Linked DNA regions of Cricetulus griseus. The protein of the gene in region 2 purifies or fractionates together with the protein of the main gene of each other region. This does not show direct contact. Links are inferred from orthologs where the notes say so. Each region holds a gene or a part of one and is shown on either strand. Other genes may lie near its edges.

Evidence for each region. The genes of interacting proteins can lie anywhere in the genome.
Region 1: the proteins of Hadha (region 2) and Gpc1 purify together in Homo sapiens (co-immunoprecipitation; 3 studies listed by BioGRID and IntAct, with this or other methods). This does not show direct contact. The link is inferred for Cricetulus griseus from reciprocal best matches to the Homo sapiens genes HADHA and GPC1.

Annotation. Positions count from the first base shown.
Region 1 is NC_048595.1:444,321,243-444,325,237, reverse strand, and holds the start of Gpc1 (glypican-1), read right to left. Parts: upstream 2,801-3,995; 5' UTR 2,504-2,800; coding exon 2,338-2,503; intron 1-2,337. UniProt on the Homo sapiens protein: Cell surface proteoglycan that bears heparan sulfate. Binds, via the heparan sulfate side chains, alpha-4 (V) collagen and participates in Schwann cell myelination.
Region 2 is NC_048600.1:14,156,794-14,160,293, forward strand, and holds part of Hadha (trifunctional enzyme subunit alpha, mitochondrial), read left to right. Parts: intron 1-152; coding exon 153-293; intron 294-667; coding exon 668-736; intron 737-1,594; coding exon 1,595-1,790; intron 1,791-2,373; coding exon 2,374-2,488; intron 2,489-3,359; coding exon 3,360-3,500. UniProt on the Homo sapiens protein: Mitochondrial trifunctional enzyme catalyzes the last three of the four reactions of the mitochondrial beta-oxidation pathway.

The DNA of each region.
Region 1 (3,995 bases), on a different chromosome or scaffold from region 2:
CAAGACAGGAGCAGAAAAGGCCACTCAAGCGCTCATAGTCCACCCTTCTTCTCTCCCAACCACCCACTGACCTCCAGTAGTACCTGAGCAGGTATCTAGCCCCCGGGGGATCCCCATACTCCTTAGAGGAGAACGTTCTTTGGAAGTCTAGATCGGTGCTGCAGGAAAAGGCTCAGAGGATTTAGAGCTCTAGGGAGGACTGCGCCATCAGGGGCCACCAGAGGGCGCCTGGTCCTTGGAGTCCAGGTCTGGTGGTACAAAACCAGACAGGACCCTGAGCTTGGCTGCCGCTTGGGCTCCGGCTATCCTGGCGGCCACCCTGCTTCTCAGTCTATGTGCTAATACTCTCTTCAGTGCCCTGGGGCTTGTAGAGACTCTCTCTCCCACTCTGAGGGCTATGAGGTGCAGCCCAAGGGGGTTCCAGGGAAGCAGGGCACGATTTCTGAGGTGCACCAATAGGGATGGTGGAAGAACACAGCCCCCAGCCTTGCATACCAATAAGTGGGGTGACCCTGAACAGATGCTGGACTCCAACTGGTATGATAGCAGTAATTCTTCAGGGTACCCACACATCCCAGCTGGATGGACAGTACTCGCAGCCGACAAAGACATCACCGCATTTTACTTGTCTTGAGTTCCTAACTCCCACATTCCCCAACCCTGGGCAGAAAGACCCAGAATCTCTGGAAGGCCACATCTCTGCCTCTTATTTTACCCTCTCAGTGCCCTTGTCACTGCCCACACTGCCAGTCCCTGCTGACACGGGCACAGTAGCAGTGGGTGGGTACACGCTTAAGAAGCTCCTCAAGAAGGCATTAAGGCGGGTGGGCCTGGCCATGCCATGGGAAGCTGTAGGCTGGAAGGTGTCAGACTGGTGTGTGTGGGGATCTGGAGTCTGGCAAGGATCAGAGGCAGGCAAGGATGCCCGGGGTTTAAGTTCCTATTTATGTGTGTTTGGAGGAGGGGAAAGCAGGACACCTTCTGTTGCCAGACACCCAGGTGGACAGTGCCCAGAGAAGTGCAGGAGGTGTGGCCTTGACATAGCAGGGCTGTCTGCAGAGAGAGGCACAGAAAGGCCTGTACTAGGGGTATCTGAGGGGCAGCTAGCCAAGAGACTGGGGCCAAACAAGGTATCTCTGGGTTCTGTCTCTCCCCAGAGCCTGGCTACTTACTACCACTCCCAAGCAAGGTAAGGCCACAGGCTACCCACTCTGGGTGACACTCCTGATTTTCCTCATTCAGAGTGCCCATGGTACCACTTGAGCTTGGCTTCTAGCCTGCAAGCCCCTTCAGTTTCAGAAGAACCCTACAGCGGGAATTCCCTGCTCACCAAGGCCCTGGTGTTGCACTTATCCAGGGGAGCTCCACACACATTGAAGGGTGAAGCCTGGGGCTGGGGAGGTCCTTAGGACATTGCATCGGCGCTCCAAGCTCATAAAGATTCGGTTCCCAGAGCTCCCGAGGCAGCGGGGAAGGGAAGGGAGGGGAAGGGCTGCTCCCAGCAGCTGCAGGGCCGAGGCTGCCGCCAGGAGGGCCGCTCTTCTTACAAAGAGATGACAAGGCCCCTGGGCGGGATCCAAGACGTCGACCACCTGCAGCTGGGCTCGTAGCTCCAGGCGGCCCCAAGTGCCCGGCCCGACCACGAGTGCGCAAGGGCCCGGGCGCTGGAGGGCACAAGTTCCTGGGTAGGAATCCCAGCGAGCCCTGGGGTCGCCTGAAGCCCACAGCGGGCTCACATTTCCCTGGAATTCAGGCTTGCAGGATAGGATCTCCTCCCATAAATCCCACTTAGGCTGCTCCCGCCGTGGACCCGCGGGAATTCCTAAGTAGAACCTTGACGCCTCTGGGAGAGGTCCGCATAGAGAAGTTCCTAGCCCGCTGCCACCGGGAGCTGTGCCCCGACAGACCGCCCCACAGCTACCGCTTGCTCCGCCACAAGGGCGGCAGGCACGCTGCCCCGGAGCTGGGATTGTCGCCCCACAGGCACATTGGGCCAAGCCAGGGGCTGAAGACGCCCAGCTCCAACCCTGACCCGAAGGGAGTGCACCGCACTGGGGTCCACTCGTCCCTAGCCGGGCCAGAACAGCGCTAAGAGGAAGGGGCTCCAGCGCGCAGAGACTGGGAACTGGGAAGCAACAGAGCGGATCGGAGCTCAGGGGCGAGGGCCGCGGGGGACAGAGCAGCGGAGGCGCAGGAGGCCACTCCAAGTCTAGGTGGCGGGTTCTGGCGCCCGGGGCTAGCTGCGGCGGGGTCAGGGGCCCGGAGCAGACCTCCTCCTCCTCCTCCTCCTGAGTGCTGGGGTCCGGAGCCCCCGGACACTGCCGCGCCCTTACTCACCGGAGATCTCTGCCTGGGGCACGTCGCTCAGGCTAAAGCCCTTGGCCCCGTAGATCTGACGGACTTCGCTGCAGCTCCGGCTCTTGCTGGCGGGGTCCCCGCGGACGCAGGCGACCAGCGCGGCGATCGCGCACAGCAGCCACCAGCCTCTGGCCCGGAGCTCCATGGCGGGGGCCCGTGGCTCCCCGGCCGCCCGCCCGCGCGCGCTTCCCTCCCTCGCTCCCGGCCGGCCGGCCCGTTCAGCCCAGTCTGCGAAGGGCAGAGCCAAGGTCCCGGCGCGCGCGGCGGCGGCGGCGGCGGCGCTCGTGGTCCAGAGGCGCGGCGGCGGCGGCCGAGGAGGCGGAGACAACAAAAGCCGGCTGCGACTGCGGCGCGAGGCGCGAGGCGCGAGGCGCGCGAGGTCCAGGCGCTCAGTCGGGCCGCCCAGAGCGCGGCGGGCGAACGCGCAGTCCCGGCTCAGCGCCTCCCCCGCCGCCCGCCCGCCCGCCCGGCCCCACGGCGGCCGCGGAGAGGGGCAGGGAGGGGCGGGGAGCGCGGCGCGGAAGAGGGGAGCGCCCGGGCGGGGCTAGGCGGGGCGGGGGGCGCGGGCGCGGTTGGGGGCACGATCGGGGCGCACCGGGCGCTCCTCTGCTCTCGGGAAGGAGGAGGAGGAGGAGGAGGAGGAGGAGGAGGAGGAGGCGTGCAGGCCCTTGCAGTCCACGCGATGGGCTCGGTTGCTGGGGAGGAGGGAGGAAGGGAGGGGGGGAGCCAGGAATGCAAAGCGGAGTCCAGGGTCCCCGAAGGTGCCTCCCCCAGAAGCCCAGTACTCAGGGCGGAGGCACCACCTGTGGGGGCGGGGGCGGGGCGGGGGGGACCGCTGAGGCAGGGCTTCCCTCGCCGGACGTGACATCACGTCCTCCCCGGCCAATCAGGGGTTTCCCCGCCCCCTGCCGAATTCGGCACCCCTTTGCTCTTCTCCATCCTTAAGCGTACCCGGCTTTCTCTTTCAGGGCTTCCACCACTCTGTCCTGGTCTCTCGCTTCCCTGGTCACCTGCACACCCACACCCCCAACAGCGCCCACCTCCCTACGCCCTTTCTAGCCGCTCCTGCACGGCTCCAGTTCTCATCTGATGTGTTTTGGAGGAGGGTGAGGGGGCCGAAGGCGGGAAACTGGCCAAAAAACTAGCCTTCACTAGCTCCGATGACTTATATGTTACAGATTGTCAGCGGGTGTTCTGGTCCCCTCTTCGTGATTCTTTAGGTGCTTGGGCGACAAAAGCGATGGAGCAGAGGCAGGTCTGTGGGCTTGAATGCAGGGTGGCAGATGACCTCTGGAAAGGAGTGGAGTTAGGAGACCATGCAGGACAGCTCAACCCCAGACGTGTTGTGCAGGACTGCCAAGCAGAGCTGCAGGGATGATGGCGGAGGAGGGGAGGGTGCCTGGCACCCCACCTGGGGGCTGGTGGTGCTTGGTTTGGACTTTCTTGCTTGGCTGCTGCCAGTGGCACTGTCCCTTTCTGCTTTTCCTTCTGCCCTGTGGGTAAAGGCCCCAGAGGCCATCATAGCTGAGGCCAGACTGAACCCAGATACCGAATCTGGAAATGGGAAGAAAGCAAGCGAACTGGCTCACTTGGTTGAGAGTCATAAGATAATGCCTATGTGACAGACGAGTCCAGGG
Region 2 (3,500 bases):
GAGGAAGTGATGACGAGGCCACAGACCCAAGCCTTTGGACTAGATCACAGTGCTCCTGGCCACAGACCTTCCTCTCCAGTGTCTCCCTAGGGAACATGGCTCAGTTGGGTTCTCCCGGCAGCACTGTAATCTTGGCTGTGGCCCCTCACCAGGTGATTGGCATGCACTACTTTTCTCCTGTGGACAAGATGCAGCTTCTGGAAATCATCACGACTGACAAAACCTCCAAGGACACCACAGCCTCTGCCGTAGCAGTGGGTCTCAAGCAGGGCAAAGTCATCATTGTGGTGAAGGTAAGGCACAGGGGCAGGTGCAGATTTCCTAAGCCTGCAGAATTGTGTGTGACCTAATTTTTTGGGGGGGGAGGGGAGATACCAGCTTCTACAATGACCACTGGGTTGTCTCTGAGATGATAGTAGCTGAGATGGGGTAGGTATGGTAGTGTCTAGGCTCTGGAAGGTCCTCTCCAGTGAGTCCAGACATCAAAGGTTACATGAAACCCACACTGTTCAGGATGGCTTCCTTTCCAGGGTAACAATGAGCGTTCTGAGAGTTTTAAGTCAGCTGAAACCATGAAATGAAGTGTGGGAAAGAGAAACTGGGTGTGGACATGGGTAGTTCAACCAAAGCAGGGCTGGCCGGCCATTAGCTTTCTTCCTCTCGGCAGGATGGACCTGGCTTCTACACCACCAGGTGTCTTGCTCCCATGATGTCTGAAGTCATACGAATCCTCCAGGTGTGTATTGTTCTGTGGAATGCTTGAGACCTTGTCAGATCTTTCACTCTGTTCTCCAAGCTGAAGATGTCCAGATGAGGGACAGGCTCCCCTAGAATATACCACTGATTTTCCCTGGAGGCCCTTTTGTGCCTCCCTTGGGGCTGAGACTGCCCAATAAGCAGAATGTTAATTCTGCTCTGTTAGCTTCCTGAGCATTGCAGGAGCCAAAGGCCTTCCAGAATCTCAGACACACGGCTTTTATATCCCTGGGGTGAGACTTTCAGACCAGAACCTGCTTGGCCTGACTACCACTGTATCTGCTTTGCTATGCACACACACACATGTGTGCATGTTCACAGACAGACAGACACACACACACACACACACACACACACACTCTCTCTCTCTCTCTCTCTCTCTCTCTCTCTCTCTCTCTCTCTTTCTCTCTCTCTCTCTCTACCTCCATGGCCATCCAGATCATTCTATGGCACTTCCCTAGCCTCAGAATGCCAGCATTCCCAGTCTTGGTAGCTATGGCATTGCCTTAGTCCTAAGATTTGGAATCACAAGCAAGAACTGAGTGATCTGGTTGTCTCTAAGCTTTCTTAAAGGGCGTGGGAAAGCTTCTGGGTTTGTGCTTACGCTTTCCTGGGTGAAGGGCTGGTTCTGGACCTGGCCAGGTGATGTCCAAGGAAAGAAGTGGGTTTCACACAGGCTATGTCTGTGGGTAATTACAGGCAACCCTGGTGCTGGTGGGGGTGGGGGATGGCTGTGCTCTGAGCCCCTGCTTTACTTCCTGTTCAGGACAGGCAACCCTGGTGCTGGTGGGGGTGGGGGATGGCTGTGCTCTGAGCCCCTGCTTTACTTCCTGCTCAGGAAGGGGTTGACCCTAAGAAGCTGGACGCCTTGACCACAGGCTTCGGCTTTCCTGTGGGCGCTGCCACCCTGGCGGATGAAGTCGGTGTGGATGTAGCACAGCATGTAGCAGAAGACCTAGGCAAAGCCTTTGGGGAGCGGTTCGGAGGTGGCAACGTGGAACTGCTGAAGCAGATGGTCTCCAAGGGCTTCTTGGGTGAGTAGCACAGGTGACATGCGTAAACTCTGTTACTTACAGAGTTGTGAGCAGCTGCCTGAGAGCAGAGTGTGTGGAGGAGAGAGTTTCCTAAACACAGAGCCCTGGACATAGAGAATCTCTTAGGCTGAGCATGCAGATTAGGGGGAAAGGCATAGTCTAGGTTTATGGGGCTCTGCCATGTATGCCAGATAGATCACCATATTCCTCCTGCCAAGGTCTGGCACTATAGGAGCAAGTTCTGTATCCAGGTTTAACCCTGTGGTCTGGCCACCCATGGGAGTTCAACCTTTCTATTCAGAACATACAATTAAGACTGCAGTAAAATCACCTTTAGGGCCTAGGCCTCTAGCTGGACACTGAGGTCTGGGGGTGGGATAGGGGTGGATTTTCTTGTTCGTATTCAGATTTCCATGCACCAGGTGCTTCCTCTCTTCTCTGTCAGTTGGACTGAATGGCTCAGCTGGCTGGACGCAGGCACTTAGCAGTGCAGCAGAATGCTAGAAGCTCACAGTGTCCAGAAGACAGGAGTTCTCAGCTGGGGTGAAGGGCAATGACTAACACAGTCTCTTTCTTCTCTCAGGTCGCAAGTCTGGGAAGGGCTTTTACATCTATCAGGAGGGATCAAAGAATAAGAGCTTGAACTCTGAAATGGATGGGATCCTGGTAAACCTGAGGCTGGCTGCCAAGCCTGAGGTGTAAGTTGATCCAGTGACTGCTTGCACAGAAATGATTTCTCTGGTAGCTCAAAGCTCCGAGGCCCCTTTTTGGTTCTCTTTATGGCCCGAAGCTGGCAAAACACTATACAGCTAAAAGCCCTGCATGTACTCTCAGTGCAAGTGTCCAGGTGAGAGTGGGCCAAGCCTGCGACAAACCTTGCCTGTGTTTTTGTTGTTGTTGTTGTTTTTCAAGGCAGGGTTTCTCTGTGTAACAGTCCTGGCTGTCCTGGAACTCTGTCTGTAGACCAGGCTGGCCTTGGACTCAGAGATCTGCCTGCCTCTGCCTCCCAAGTGCTGGGATTAAAGGCTTGCGCCACCACTGGCTTCAAGTGCCTTTCTTAAGACTGTGATGTTAAGATTAGATACTGATGATTTCTAGACTTTGACACAATCATAAGAAAACCAGAGCTCAGCGAGATTATGCCATTTGCCCAAATTTACCCAGCAAGGCAGTGAAGGAACTGGGATCTATATTCAGTCCCCCTCTAAGATGCTTGAGTCTGGTGACTGAAGGTGAGAGATGGATTATGCAGGCGCCTGCACCCCCCCCCTTACATTGAAGTTAATCATTGCCCTGCACCCCCCTTGCTCTTTGTTAGCTTTGGAAATACACAGATGTTGCTGTCAGGAAATGATCGCACTTTTTCTGTGCCAGACCATTTTGGGTGTTCATACCAGTTAGGGAAAGTCCCACCCCTTTTTCCAGGAGATGGGCTGTGTCATCTTTCAGGATGGTGTGGTCCTTCCTGGCCACTGGGTTCCCTAGGGCTCACCCGCACCCCACATGCTGCACTCCAGCTCTTCCTGTTGTTTCTCTGGCTAAATGTTCCTTCTTGTTCCTTCTCCTCAGCTCCTCTGATGAAGACATCCAATACCGTGTGATAATGAGGTTCGTGAATGAGGCAGTCCTGTGCCTGCAGGAAGGGATCCTGGCCACACCTGCAGAGGGAGACATTGGAGCGGTGTTTGGGCTTGGCTTTCCCCCTTGTCT